Callithrix jacchus: one gene and its partners. The protein of the gene in region 3 interacts with the protein of the main gene of each other region in a pairwise test. Links are inferred from orthologs where the notes say so. Each region holds a gene or a part of one and is shown on either strand. Other genes may lie near its edges.

The links.
Region 1: the proteins of KLHL40 (region 3) and SPMIP4 interact in a two-hybrid assay, tested with the Homo sapiens proteins (2 studies listed by BioGRID and IntAct). The two-hybrid records come from large-scale screens. The link is inferred for Callithrix jacchus from reciprocal best matches to the Homo sapiens genes KLHL40 and SPMIP4.
Region 2: the proteins of KLHL40 (region 3) and TASOR2 interact in binary tests that used the Homo sapiens proteins (3 or more experiments, as listed by UniProt). The two-hybrid records come from large-scale screens. The link is inferred for Callithrix jacchus from reciprocal best matches to the Homo sapiens genes KLHL40 and TASOR2.

What each region holds. Positions count from the first base shown.
Region 1 is NC_133512.1:32,871,847-32,877,059, forward strand, and holds the start of SPMIP4 (sperm-associated microtubule inner protein 4), read left to right. Parts: upstream 1-2,119; 5' UTR 2,120-2,439; coding exon of another isoform or gene 2,440-2,745; exon of another isoform or gene 2,746-2,771; intron 2,772-3,163; 5' UTR 3,164-3,187; coding exon 3,188-3,321; intron 3,322-5,213. Other genes in the region: uncharacterized protein LOC118143655, read right to left, coding at 2,440-2,745. UniProt on the Homo sapiens protein: Microtubule inner protein (MIP) part of the dynein-decorated doublet microtubules (DMTs) in flagellum axoneme. May serve to reinforce and thus stabilize the microtubule structure in the sperm flagella.
Region 2 is NC_133508.1:8,041,973-8,046,424, reverse strand, and holds part of TASOR2 (protein TASOR 2), read left to right. Parts: intron 1-1,982; coding exon 1,983-2,862; intron 2,863-4,452.
Region 3 is NC_133518.1:80,428,895-80,434,119, reverse strand, and holds the start of KLHL40 (kelch-like protein 40), read right to left. Parts: upstream 3,159-5,225; 5' UTR 891-3,158; coding exon 804-890; exon of another isoform or gene 787-803; intron 1-786. UniProt on the Homo sapiens protein: Substrate-specific adapter of a BCR (BTB-CUL3-RBX1) E3 ubiquitin ligase complex that acts as a key regulator of skeletal muscle development.

The DNA of each region.
Region 1 (5,213 bases), on a different chromosome or scaffold from region 3:
TGACACACCTTCTCAGGTGTCACCACCATTCATGTACATACACGACTAGTGATGCATCTTCATCAGACGCTGCTGATTAAATCTATCATGCTCAGTTACTCCTCCCAGGAAGAATCAAGCCATGAGAAAATGGAAGTAAGGTTAACGATGAGGAAAAGGAGAAGTTATGGAAAGTACTGGAAGTCTGGGGACATGAAATGGGCTGGAAAGGAAAGAAATTTAATGGGAGCTCCTAAACTCACAGGAGCAGAAAGGGGGCAAAAGGTTAGAATGAACTACCATAAATTGGAGGGGAAAAACAAGATGGATAAAGACATCGAAGATAAAAGTCAATTTTACCTAATGCACAACTCTGTCTCCAGCAGGATCTACTCCTCCAGGCTTAGTGGGTAGTAACTATCGGAACGTTGGCAGAGGTGCAGAAACTAAGAAATAAACCAAGACTACAAAATTGCCACTGTGCCTACCTCAGTACACCTTTCTTCCCCCACTCCAGGTAACACTCACATAGAAGGCACAGCACAAAATGAATGCCCACTGGTTGATTAGTAAGAAGTTGTAAAGTAGGCACAGAATGGCAAAGGCACCATCACACTGTTACCAAGCAAAGGAGGCTCACTGCCTGCTGCACTCCTAGAAGTCAAAACTATAACACTGGGTTTTTGAGAAAATAAAAACTTTTATAGAATGTCAACCAACAAGGAATTAGGAAGTCCAGCTCAAATCTGTCTCCCTGCGCTGGCTTTAGGGAAGTGATTTTATTAGAAAATGTTTCGAGTGTGAATTCAGGGACTATCAGGTGCTTGGTGGAAGGAATGAGGAGGTCTGGAAAGTCCTTGGGCATGTGCTCCTCTCTCTTCATGCTACCTAAGTGTTCCACATGCAAATTTAGGGAGGAGATAGTATGAAACATGCAGTAGAAATTCAGCTGTAAGGTCAGCAAGCTGGGTCTGTGCAGACTCCAGTTGGCCATATTGGTTCACAGGGATTTTGGCCAGTTTTATTAACATAAAAGCCCAGGCAGTTTCAGCATTTCAGCAAGTTGTTTCTTTTATCTGCCATTCTGTAAACTCAAGAATTTCTATGGCTTTTTTGTTGTTTCTGTTGTTTTGTTTTTACTCTTTGGCAGATAGTTTCAATGACCTTCTTCTCAGCCCTCACCTCCTGATTCCTGCAGCTCAGTTCTAACCTCCCACACTGTGTTAGTCGGTTCTCACACTGCTATAAAGAACTGCCCGATACTGGGTAATTTATAAAGGAAAGAGGTTTAGTTGACTCACAGTCTCCCATGGGTGGGGAAGCCTCAGGAAACTTACAATCATTGCAGAAGACCAAGGAGAAGCACTCACCTTTTTCACAAGGCGGCAGGAAGGAGTGGTGCTGAGAGAAGGGGGAAGAGCCCCTTATAAAACCATCAGATTTTGTGAGAATTCACTCACTATTACCAGAACAGCATGAGGGAAACTGCCCCCGTGACACAATTACTTTCACCCGGTCTCTCCTTTCACATGTGGGGATTATGGGGCTTGCAATTCAAAATGAGATTTGGGTGGGGACACAAAGCCTAACTATATCACACAACCTAACCTTCCCACATCCCATTCCTTGATGCGGGGGGAGGTGGGAAGAGGGGTGACACCGCTGTTTTCAGTCATCACAGGCACTCATGACCCTGTAGGTGCAGAGAAGGGGCTCACATTTATTTCTTTTGGGGAAAACTGAGGTAATCAAGGTGGGGCTAGGCCCTGGGGACAAGGCAAGTAAGGACTTTGCCACGTCCGCATTCACTAGAGAAGGAGCAGAAGCTCTGTTAGGGCGCCATCCCACGGGCTGCAGTTGCAGAATCCTGCAGACTCCATCCCCGATCTGGCCCCAATTTTTGCGAGGTGACCTGGGGAGGGAGGACAGATTGGATGCTCTGACCTCACCAGGGTCTGCGCTGGACCGTAGGTCTTCCTCCGCCCAGTCGGCAGAGAGAGTTTCCTGGCCGGCCCCAGAGAGCTCCAGATCTGACAGCCCTGGGAAAAGAAACTGAGATCACCTTCGCCGCCGCGGCCGCCAGAGGGCGCCTGGGGGCAGGGAGAGGGTGGGGCTAGGCGGGTCCGGCAGGAGGCGGGGCGGTGAGCCGAGAGGGGCGGGGCGAGGGGCAGAGAAGAGGGCCGGGGGCCGCAAGGCGGAAGAGGCCCTTTCACCACCGACCCGGCGCCTGGCGCTCTCTTCTTCACTCTTGGTACTGACGCGCGTTCTTGCCTATCCCGCAGCGTTAGGCTGGCTTCCTCCGAGGCCTCTAAGACCCGCCTACCGCACCCCGCCCGTCGCGCGGAAGCCCCCAGCTCCTCATGGACGCATCGCTTAGTGCCGCGGTCACGGCCACCGTCACAAGCGCCCCCAGCCCCACCCAACACCGGCCTGCCCGCCGTCCCTCTCCCGCCCCCGCACCTGCCTGCCAGCTCCACCGGGCCGCAGTGCGGGCAACCGCAACATTCCTGGCCCGCGGAGGCCGTCAGCTCCAGGAGGGGATGAAAGGCGCCGTCCCGCGGCGCCCCCAGATTCAGGTCCCAGGTGCGTCCGGACCCCGGAGGCACGGCTCGCAGAACGTTGACAGCCCGCGAGGTTCGGCCTCGGCCCCCGGTACCCTTCGTCCAAGCTACACCCACTCCTGGCCTTCCCCCCAAGTCCGAGGGAGAGGTGAGATTCTTCCTGACGCAGTTGGAAACTGGGAATCCCCTTTAGGGTAGGGTTCATGCTGCACCACTGACTCCACCATCTGCAAAGGGATTCTTGTGCAGAATCCCCGAATGCTTTAGGACAGCTCTTGGTTCTGTTATATGAAGAGTCTAATTTTCGGAAAGGCCACAGGCTTTTCATCAACTGAATTAAATTTCAGTTGATGTCCACAAAGCGGACTGGTACGAACCTGCTGGATGGTGGTCATTCTGGTGACTACTTGGAGACACCTTCCACTTTGTGGATTTGTTTCTGTTGAAATGTATTTCCATAGAATTTATTTAGGTCTCTGTTTACTACTGATTTGACGGCTTTAAGTGAGGAGGGAAGCCCGTGATTTCTGTGCAGCTTTAGATTGAACAATTTAGCAGCGCAAAATGTGTTTTCTGCCTGCCTTAACTCGATAAGCCAAATATGCCCTCCATTTCTTTTCTAGGTTGTGCCTTTTTAGCCAAGAAGCATGGAGGTCATTCACGGCAGGCCCTACTGTTGCAGGGAGCTGGAAGGCGCTGACATACTGTCCAACACCTTTTACTCTAATGAGTTGCACACCCCCCTCCAAATGGCTATTCGCCCAACTGCCTCAGAGGACAGGTAAAACAAAAACTAGAAAAAGCAAACAAGAAAAAGCAGTTTTAATGTATTAGTGTATTTTATTATGAGAGGAAAAACATTTATTTTCTGGGGCTCTTCTGTTGTTTGTTCGTTTGTTTTTGAGACATAGTCTTGCTGTCGCCCAGGCTGGAGTGCAATGGCGCGATCTCGGCTCACTGCAACCTCCGCTTCCAAGTTCTAGTGATTCTCCTGCCTCACCCTTCCGAGTAGCTGGGATTACAGGCATGCGCCACTGTGCCCAGCTAATATTTTTGTATTTTTAGTAGAGACGGGGTTTCACCATGTTGGCCAGGCTGGTCTCGAATTCCTGACCTCAAATGATCCACCCACCTCAGCCTGCCAAAGTGCTTCTGTTTATCACATCACAGTGAAGGCAAACGTGGCAATTAACTAAACCTTCGAGTGTCTGTAAGGAACCTGAGAAGTAAGTGGCTGTGTACTATGAAGACATCAAATTCATCCACTACATTGTAAAATTTTAGAATAGTCTGTTCCTTCATTGGGGAATTAATCTGTTTTAATCAAAGACTTTTTATTTTATAAAGAGAGTACTATATTGGTTTCCTAACATGCCCTTCTGCCATCTGCCCAAAAATACTCCCAGAATTTGCTGCTTATAGTTGTCTAAATTTTTGCTTTACCAAATTCCCTGTAACACATTAATTATACCATTATGATTTGAATTGTGGAAAGCAGTTTAGTGATTTCTCAACTCCGAACAGAATTACCATGTGACCTAGCAATCCCATTATTGGATTCTCAGTTGTTCTTATAAGTTGTTCTACCAAAGGAATATAAGTATTCTACATATAAAAAGATACATGCACAGGTCTGTTCATCAGCAAAGATATGGAATCAGCCTAAATGCCCATCAGTGGTTGACTGGATATAGAAAACATGGTACATATATACGATGGAATACTATGCAGCCATAAAACATGAGATCATGTCTTTTGCAGCAACATGGATAGAGCTGGAGGCCATTATTCTAAGCAAACTAACACAGGAACAGAAAACCAAATATCACATGTTCTCACTTATATGTGGGAGCTAAACATTGAGTACATAGGGAGACAAAGAAGGGAATAACAGACATCAAGGCCTACTTGAAGGTAGAGAGAAGGAGGAAAGCAAGGATCAGAAAACTACCTCTTGGGTGCTATGCTTATCACCTGGGTGACAAAATGATCTGTACACCAAACCCCTGCAACATGCAATCTACCTGTATAACAAACCTGCATATGTACCCCTGAACCTAGAATGAAAGTTTTTTTAAAAAAATTACAATGAAAAAAATTGCATCTAACATATCTAGTGATTACTGTGCGTTAGCACTCTACCAGATGCTTTGTATATAGTAATTATTTTAATTCTCATGAGAACCTTATAAGATAAATGCTATTGTTACCTGCATTTTGCATTTGAAATAACAGATAACAGACAAGTAATTTGCCAAGATCCTAGTGCCAGCACTTCCTGTATTGTATTTACTTGAATCATTTTGAGGAAAGAAAAAGGGAAAAAACACCTCAAAACACCTGGCCAGTGAAAAAATAGCCTGTGTGGTTGTCTACTTGTGTGTTTTGTGTTTTTTTAAGTTCACTTGGTCAAGTCTCTCATTTAAGAGTTCTTTAGGAAACCAGACAGGAAGTCACCCAGACTCAGTTTAAACACCAAAAAGGACAGCACTTCGACACCAGGCAGTCTATTCCATTTTTGAATGCTCCTGATTGTTAGATAATTTTCTTTATAATGAGAACAGTTTTTTTTCCTTATAATTTCTGCCTGCTGATTCTGGTTCCTCCCTCTGAAGCTATGCAAAATCATAATTCATCCTTCCCATGCTAGCAACCCTTCAAGATCTGAAGATT
Region 2 (4,452 bases), on a different chromosome or scaffold from region 3:
ATCTCTCATTTCTTTGGGATATTTGAGAACATTACAGAATTTAATTCATACTATTTTCAAATCATTTGATGTGTCTTGGTCCAATCTTTCAAATTTGTAAACATTATGAGAAACATCTTGTGTTCCTAGCAGTGTTATTTGAATTTGTTGCACTGAATTGGCTTCAGATGTTTATTGAAAAATTGTTCAATGGGAAGAGGTATACAATTGGATACTGACAGAAAAGTGAGCCCAGAAAATTTAAAGTTTTTAAAATATGTGTTCAAAATATTTTCAAAATATTTGAACACATATTTTAAAAACTTATTTGTATTGCAAATATCTGTATGTATTGTTATCACATTCCAAGTTGACATTTTTCAATGACTACATTTTAAAAATCTCATTTTTTTTCTTAAACACCTATGTTAATTATTTTAAGTCTTACACTTTAAACATCAAAGTTTAAGAAGGCAGATGAAACAGCCATGATGACCTCAGTTTGAAAATTACTGATTTAAATTAGAATCAAATGAAAATTTTAAAGTCAATCCTTTTGTTAACGAAACATGGTTTTCTTTCCTTTTTATACACTGAACTTTCTTTTTAAATGTAGTTCCTTTGGCATTGTCTTATGTATGTCTTAAATAGATAGAAATTATTGGTTTTTTTTTTTTAATTGAGAACTTGTAACAAGTTAATAATTGGGTGATTTGTGTGAGACTATAATATGTTTATTAAACTACCATTTTTTCTGGATTTCAATACAGTATCTTTTATATTAGGCCTTACTTGTAAGTAGTATTTTGTGTAAGGGATAAGTATATAAAGGCCATAATATTAACAAAGATAGAATGAAATTAGTGTCAATAAATGAATCAGATCATAAAATTAATTTTATGTTTCCAATATACCTGTGGGGCTAACAAGACAACTACCCGCTTTGGGTCCTTTTCATCCACCTGTCCCCTTTGGATTTGCTGTTTTACATAAATACTGGGCAGTGGTTGATAGTTTTACCCTTTCCCCATGTATGTGCATATCCTTATCTCGTTCTAATTGATGAAGAAAAAGGCCTGGAGCTTTTTTCTTCTCTTTAAATGTATTACTCATTGGCCTTGGCTGGGGAGAGGTTAATTCATTTTGGACCTGCTACTATTATAAAGAGGAACACAGTTGGCTTTTCTGTTCATCTCTCTACCTGCAGCAGGTAATCATTGCCTAGTAGAGTTGTGAAGTTGATCCTTCATAATAACAGCATTTAGGAAGGACTAATTAATGTCTTGAAAATACCTAGGGACACCACTGGCAAATATAATTGTTCTGTTTAACGGCATATGGATAGATTTCTCTACATAAAGGAAAACTGTCAGTAGATTTACTCTTTCTTGGATAATGTAAAAAAATTTCATTACCAAATGTTTTTGGTAATGAAAGCAAAATTTTAAAGGTATGGAATTGATGATTCTGAATACGCTTATGACTTCTAATTTTTTATTTCTATTACATCATGTAATTAAAGATTTATATAGTTAAAATTATTTGAACTTAGGTGGTTTCTCTAATAGATTACTTGTTCAGGGAAATGATTGCTGAGAATGTGTGTTAGCAAACTTTAATACACACTTGAAACTTCAACATTCCTAGCTTCACTAGATTGTAAGCTCCTGAAGGGCAGGACTCTCGTCCTTTTTGTTTTTTTTCTGTTTGTACATTTTTTTTGAGCTGAGCTGTGTGTCTTGCATGTAGTTCATTACATATGTTTTGAAGATTAATCTCTTTCTAAATTAATATACCTATTCCTTAAGACTTGTCCCTCTGGTTTAATATGTTATAAGAGATCTGAGGGTTGGAAGAGACCTTAATCTGATAGTAAATTTTTAATAAGCAATATATGTAACATAAGTATTTCTGGAACATGTTGAGTTACCATTAATAACAGCAGAGAATTCTATGACAAGCAAACATAATATCTCTCTTTTTTTAATTCCTTTATACTGAAGTCAAAGGAGAAACTGTTTCAAAGCTTCAGTCAGAAATTTCAAGAGATGGTCAAGAAGATGGGATCAGCATAAATAATGTTCAACCAGAAAATACCACAGTGGCTCACAGTGATCTTGCTGAGAACTCCATTGTCAACTATGACTCCCAGGCCCTAAATATGTTAGCCGATCTAGCATTAAGCTCTGCTACCTCTTCCACACCAGTATCGGAGCCTAGAGATCTTCACTGTTCCTCTGAATTGCCACAGAATGATATTTCGCTCTCTAAAGAAAATTCTTTGCGAGGCACATCTGACCATGAATATCATAGAGGAGTTAAAAGTCAAAAAGGTGGATTACTACCTAACCCATCCTCTGATAGGAAGAGTAATTCTGGGTCAGACTTAACTGTTAGCCAAAATGAAGAAAGCTTGGTTGCTTGTAGCCAGACCCCTGCTAAAGCCCAGTCAGCAATTACTGAGGAAACACTAGAATCTTCAGATGCCAGCCAGAGCTCTTCTGTTTCTGTGGAACATTCATATGCTCTGCTCCTTACAGAAGAGTTAAAGAAACATCTTCAGGAGAAAGAGACACCAAGCCCTCCCTTTCCCAAGAATGGGACAAAAAGCCCTGAAGCAGTAACCCCAGTGGGGAAAGTCATGCCATTTCGGCATCAACCTGGCCTTTTGCTTCAGCCAAAACCTTCTGACGAGCCTGTGGTGAAGCACAAGGATCAACCGAAGTCTTCCAGTGTGAAAGAATCTTCTTGTTCTCATGTGGTGTTTAGCTGTGATGACTCCGTTAAGATCACTTTCAAATGTGAAACAGAATATGCATTCAGCTTAGATAGCAAATATACCAACCACCCACTGGAGAAAACTGTAGTTAGAGCATTACATGGGTGAGTATGAGTGAAACTTGGTGAAAATGGATGAAACTTTTCTGTTGAGATGAATATAGTGAGAGGGGGACACTTGTGCCAAACTCTGGAGAAGGAGAAACAAGTGTGTGTAAAACCAGTAATTTGATAATAACATCAAGCAAACATGTTTCCTGGCAAGTAAGAGTAACAGGCCGGTTTTCCCCTGTGTTCACATGGAGAACATTTTAAAGATAACTTTAGCCTAATGAATAGCTTTCCAGTTTGCAGTGGTCCTTTGTAAGCCCCTGTGGCTTTTGAATTTCGATTTTTAGATGAGATCTTAATGTGAAATAGTGTGACATTTAGAAATAATGGTTTACAGACTGGATTCCAGAAGAAACATTTTAAAAATCACTTGTAGCTTGGTAAATTGTTCAGATTGATAGGAATAAGCCGTTTCACATCAGATTGTTCTATAGATCTCCCTTAAGAAGGAATCAAGGCAATAAGAGCAGAGTGGTGAACAGCACAGGCTTTGGAGTGTACACTAACGTGGATTTGAACCCGAGTTCTTTCCCTTTCTTACCTCCTGTGATTCTGGGCAAGTTTCTTGCTTTTGGACGGTGCCTCTCAATCTTAATTGTGTATACTGCTCATCTGGAGATTGCATTGAACTGCAGATCCTGATGCATTCTCCTTGGGGAGAGGTCTGACATTCTGCATTTCTAACAAATTTTCAGGTGATATCAATGGTGGATGACAGTCTGGGCAACACTTTGAGTTTAGTAGTAGCTGTATCTTGAGATTACATATATTGGGACAATAGTAATAATAAATGGTAAATATCACTGTTAGCAAGAAGCATTCATTAGCTATATGAAATGACATTCAACTCCCTATTAATGAACTATTTCACATCTGACTAAATGGACTCTACAGCTGTCAGGCTGTCTTCCATGCACAAGTTTATATATACTCATAAGGGTCATTTCCTTAGAACTTCCTGCTGAGCTGTTGCCCAACTCTGCAGCCCCGCTAACTTACCCTGTTCCAGCGATCTGGCATCCTTTTGCCGGCCAGATGGCCAGAAATGTTTTCCATCTCCCCTTACAGTTTCAGGGTATTTTTCAGAACCGTAATCTGAAAATAGTATAGTTTTCTGTTGAATTGCCTAGAGAGATATTTTATCTTCAGACTATCATCTATTAGAAGGGAGACACAAAAATGGAAAATAAATGAATCAGCCAGACTTAGCAAAAGCATGTTGACGAGGATTTGCGTATTGGTGAAACCATTATTCACATAATTAGTATTCTGTGTCTAGAGTGAATTTGTATGGTGTAAAAGACATGTGCTAAACTAGGAGTCAGGAGATGCATGTTTAGATCATGATTCTGCCATGCAGGTTTTGTGATTTGAAAGAAGGCAATTACATGTTCTGATTCTCAGTTCCTGTCTCTGTAAAATGAGTGGGTTAGACTGATAATTATTTGTTAAGTCAACTACATTTTTACTCATTCATGCTTCATATCTGTACATTTTAAAAATAAAAACATAAAACCTAAGGTTAATATTGGAAGCACTTGCTTACTAAGGTAATCAACTAAAATAACCACTTACATTGATTTT
Region 3 (5,225 bases):
CGCCTCGGCCTCCCAAAGTGCTGGGATTACAGGCGTGAGCCACCGCGCCCGGCCTCTGTCCCTCTTCAATGGTGCAACTGACCATCACTCACTCACCCCACCAGCAGGTCCCAAAGGGACACAGCACCTGGGCAGGCTCTGGAGGTGATCAGTCCCTGTTGCTGAAAAGACAAGGGCTCACTCAGACAAGGCAGGTGGTGGGCTTTCAGCCCAGTCCGGGACTGCAGGGCATTGTGGCAAGCACAGCCACTGAGGAGACTCGGCTTGAGGGCTGGGCACCTTGGCCAAGTCACAGAGCGGGCATGGGGCGGTGCCAGGATCTGAAACAGATCTGCCCTCCTCCAAAGACTGTGGCAACCCTTCCCTACCTTGCCACTTCCCAAGAATTAACAAAAATGTCATTAATCGTAGTCTCATTTCAAAGACCAGGACAGAAAATACTGGCCAGTTAACTTAGATTTATCAAATGACTTGATGAAATATTTTTAGATGGTGATGGATCCCATAGCTGTCACTCTACCAAGCATTCCAGTAGAACATGTGTATATGGCTCATTCATTCATCATCAAGCACCAGCTGTGCACTGCTTTAAATGCTGAAGAGTCAGCAATCAGGCGTCACGGGACTTACATTTGCCAGGGGGTCGGGGCGAGGGTGGTGGGGGAGACAGAAATACATCAATAGTTATTCAGGGCATTGGACGATGCTCATGGCTGTGCAGACAAGGGGAACAGGGAAGGCGCATGGGAAGTGGCAGGAGGAGGTGGGAACGATTTTAAACGGAGCAGTCAGGATGGACTCACCAAGAGGATCACATTGAGTTGAGTCAGAGGATTCCCGGTGGGGGCGCAGCTGGAGCCAAGTTCCTGAGGCAAGAGAGTGCCTGGCATGTTCCTGGAACAGCTTGGAGAGCGACCGGGCTGGAGCAGTGAATGAGGAGGCGAGTAGGAGGCAAGGGGAGAGGTGAGTGTGGGGACCGTGGGCCCATCAGGACTTCGGTTTTCCTCTGAGTTGAAAGGGGAAACACTGTTATTTATTTATTTATTTTTTGAGATGGCATCTTGCTCTGTTGCCCAGGCTGGAGTGCGGTGGCGTGGGCTCAGCTCACTGCAACTTCTGCCTCCTGGGTTCAAGCGATTCTCCTGTTTCAGCTTCCCAAGTATCTGGGACTATAGGCACCCGCCACCACGCCTGGCTACTTTTTGTATTTTTGGTAGAGATGGGGTTTCCCCATATTGGCCAGGCTACTCTCCAATTTCTGACCTTGTGATCCGCCCACCTTGGCCTCCTAAAGTGCTGGGATTACAGGTTTGAGCCACTGCGCCCAGCCTTATTTTTTGAGGCAGGGTCTTGCCCTGTTGCCCAGTCTGGACCTCCTGGGCTCAAGTGATCCTTCACCTCAGTCTCCTCAGTGGCTGCGACTACAGGCGCCCCGTCCCCACCACACCCAACTAATTTCTAAAATTTTTGTGCTGATGGGGTCTCACTATTTTGCCCAGGCTGGTCTGGAACTCCTGGCCTCAAGGGATCCTCCCACCTTGGCCTCCCAAAGTGTTGGGATTATAGGTGTGAGCCACCATGCCTGGCCTCACTGTTTTTTTAATTATTATTGTGGAAAATACAAATATGTACAAAAGTAGAGAGGATAATATCCTGAGCTCCCATGGACCCATCTCCCCACTTCGATAATTGTCAGGTCTTTGAGTCATGGCCAACCCCGTTTCATCTCTACCGCACCCACTCTATTACTCACCCCCGGAGGTCCCCAGGGATTGTATGTGGGTGTAGAAAAAGAGGGGAGAAAGGGTGACTCCAAGGCTTTTAGCTGAACCAAAGGGAAGATGTCATCTCATTTCATCCTTTCAATTTTTACTGATTTAATCTCCACACCAAAATTATGAGGTAGGTATTATTTTTCCCATTTTACAGAAATTGAAATTCCAATGGCCAGCAAATGGGAAGCAGTCTAATGTTTTAAAAACAGCTCTAATGAGGCATAAGTAGCATGTGACAAACCACACGTATTTAAAGTGTACAATTTGATAAGTTTTGACATATGTATATATACCCGTGAAACCCCCAGCACCACAATCAAGACGGGAACACACCTGTCACCCACGAACCCTTCCTCATCCCCTTTAAAATCTCTCCTCCATCTCTTCCCACACACCCCCCATCACTGATCTGTTGTCACCATGATTCATTTGCATTACCTGCAGTTTTACGTAAGAAGAATCGTGCAGTATGCACTCTTTTTGATTTTTTGTCTGACATTATTCACTCAGTGTAATTATTTTAAGCTTCATCTAGGCTGTCTACTCATATGTTTAACTGGAAGCTCTGCCTTCATTAGGAATCTTAGCATATCCCAGGGTCATTTAAGAGAAGCACTAAGTGTGCCGGGTGCTGTGGCTCACCTGCACTCCCAGCACTTTGGGGGACTAGGGCAGTGGGTGGATCACCTGAGGTCAGGAGTTCGAGACCAGTCTCACCAATACGGTGAAACTCCATCTCTACTAAACTACGAAAATTAGCCGGGTGTGGTGGCATGCACCTGTAGTCCCAGCTGCTCAGGAGGCTGAGACAGGAGGCTTGAACTCAGGACATTTGGGTGGCCACACTTGGTGGCCTTCCTGCATCTCCTAAATAGTCTTCCTATGTTTTGGACAGTTCGCACGTAAGTAGAACTTCTTCTCTGTGGTAGAAAACAGAATTTATTTAAAATCCCAGCTTCCCCAGGAAAACAGACATGCCACTGAGCTCAACCCATCGTATGTGCCGTCCCAAACTTCAGCTCAGATCAGGAAGCAGGGACACGCAGCATCCATGTTTTGACGAAGATGGCTGATGGAAAGCGGTGTCGGAACTTCTGGAGTCGGCTTCCCACTGTCCACGTGCAAGCGGAGGGATCTGTCCCTGCTGGCGCTGGTTTGGCCACGACCTGGGCTATGCAGCCTGTGACCCTGACTGCAGCACTCCTGAAGGTTCTGTCTGATGCCACAGCAGCCAGTGAGGCTTCCATGGTCTGCTGCTAAGAGGACTGTGCGATGTTGAAATTCATTTCAGGAGTATCCTGGCAGCAGGTGCGCACGGCGGAGCCAACGCAGTCGAGAGCATCTCCGATGGCCTGCTCGCCTGCTCACTGACTTCTGGGTTACAGGAGGCCTGTGATGCAAGGAGTCGAGATGCTGCAGATGCTCTTACGTGACAAAGGGACCCAAAGACGGGAGCCCCGAATGCTGGAGTGGACCCATCCCCCGTGTCTGCTGAGAGGGCTGAGAGGATACCTCGCCCATCATTGAGGACCTTGTTGGTGAGGTATGCCGGCGACTTTAACCTGTCAGGGCTGAGTGGGAGCCTTTGCCTTTGAAGTGGCCTCCCTGCTTTCAGGGAGGATAATGGGATCTTAGCATTGACAGTGGCCAAGTAATGGTTCATAAGCTCCAAAGGTAAAATGGGCACGGCCACTGCAATCAGCAGCAGGGCTGGAGCGGGGGTCGTCAGAGGGGACGGAGGGCTGGAGCGGGGGTCGTCAGAGGGGCCGGAGGGCTGGAGTGGTGGTCATCTTAGGGGCTGGAGGGCTGGAGCGGGGGTCGTCAGAGGGGACGGAGGGCTGGAGCGGGGGGTTGTCAGAGGGGACGGAGGGCTGGAGCGGGGGTCATCTTAGGGGCTGGAGGGCTGGAGCGGGGGTCATCTTAGGGGCTGGAGGGCTGGAGCGGGGGTCGTCAGAGGGGACGGAGGGCTGGAGCGGGGGGTTGTCAGAGGGGACGGAGGGCTGGAGCGGGGGTCATCTTAGGGGCTGGAGGGCTGGAGCGGGGGTCATCATAGGGGCTGGAGGGCTGGAGCGGGGGTCGTCAGAGGGGCCGGAGGGCTGGAGCGGTGGTCATCTTAGGGGCCGGAGGGCTGGAGCGGGGGTCGTCAGAGGGGACGGAGGGCTGGAGCGGGGGTCGTCAGAGGGGACGGAGGGCTGGAGCGGGGGTCGTCAGAGGGGACGGAGGGCTGGAGCGGGGGTCGTCAGAGGGGCCGGAGGGCTGGAGCGGGGGTCGTCAGAGGGGCCGGAGGGCTGGAGCGGGGGTCGTCAGAGGGGCTGGAGGGCTGGAGCGGGGGTCATCTTAGGGGCTGGAGGGCTGGAGCGGGGGTCGTCAGAGGGGACGGAGGGCTGGAGCGGGGGTCGTCAGAGGGGCCGGAGGGCTGGAGCGGGGGTCGTCAGAGGGGCTGGAGGGCTGGAGCGGGGGTCGTCAGAGGGGACGGAGGGCTGGAGCGGGGGTCGTCAGAGGGGACGGAGGGCTGGAGCGGTGGTCATCATAGGGGCTGCAGGGCTGGAGCGGGGGTCATCTTAGGGGCTGCAGGGCTGGAGCGGGGGTCGTCAGAGGGGCTGCAGGGCTGGAGCGGGGGTCGTCAGAGGGGCTGGAGGGCTGGAGCGGGGGTCGTCAGAGGGGCTGCAGGGCTGGAGCGGGGGTCGTCAGAGGGGCTGCAGGGCTGGAGCGGGGGTCGTCATAGGGGCTGGAGGGCTGGAGCGGGGGTCGTCAGAGGGGCTGGAGGGCTGGAGCGGGGGTCGTCAGAGGGGCTGGAGGGCTGGAGCGGGGGTCATCTTAGGGGCTGCAGGGCTGGAGCGGGGGTCGTCAGAGGGGCCGGAGGGCTGGAGCGGGGGTCATGAGAGGGTCTGACCCCCAGGGGCCCTTGGGGGTGACTAATGGAGTGTGTGTTTCCTAGCAACGGAAACAGATCGTTTTTCTAACGTTTTACTGATACATATTCTGAATCTGGGTTTGCCTTCCCAGCCTGCCACATTTCTGCTGCTCCCTCCAGCCACAGATTTCATGCCTTTTTCATTTTCATGGAACCAAATTCAACCCTGCTTCTGATCCAGGATCTCATTTTGTAGCAAGAGAAGTGAGGCAAGCCTTCCAGTGAATGATGGCAGATAAAACACATGCTTTTTTGAGCTTCCTTTTGAAAGCTTACTATAACTGAAGTAGAGGGTTAAGAGAAATAAAATATGTAAACTCCCAGGAACATGGTATCAGCATACTCTGCAGGGACAGAGCAGCACAGCCGCAGACTCTGGAAAGCAGGAGAGGTGTGATAAGCAGCGTGGCAGTCCTGATTCTGCATCTGCGATGAGAAGGCCAGAATCCACAGAGAAGGCCCAGAATTGGCAGCACCAGGTACCTTTAAACATACAGGAGAATCAACCACCACCTGGTAGAAGCCAGCGGTTTCAT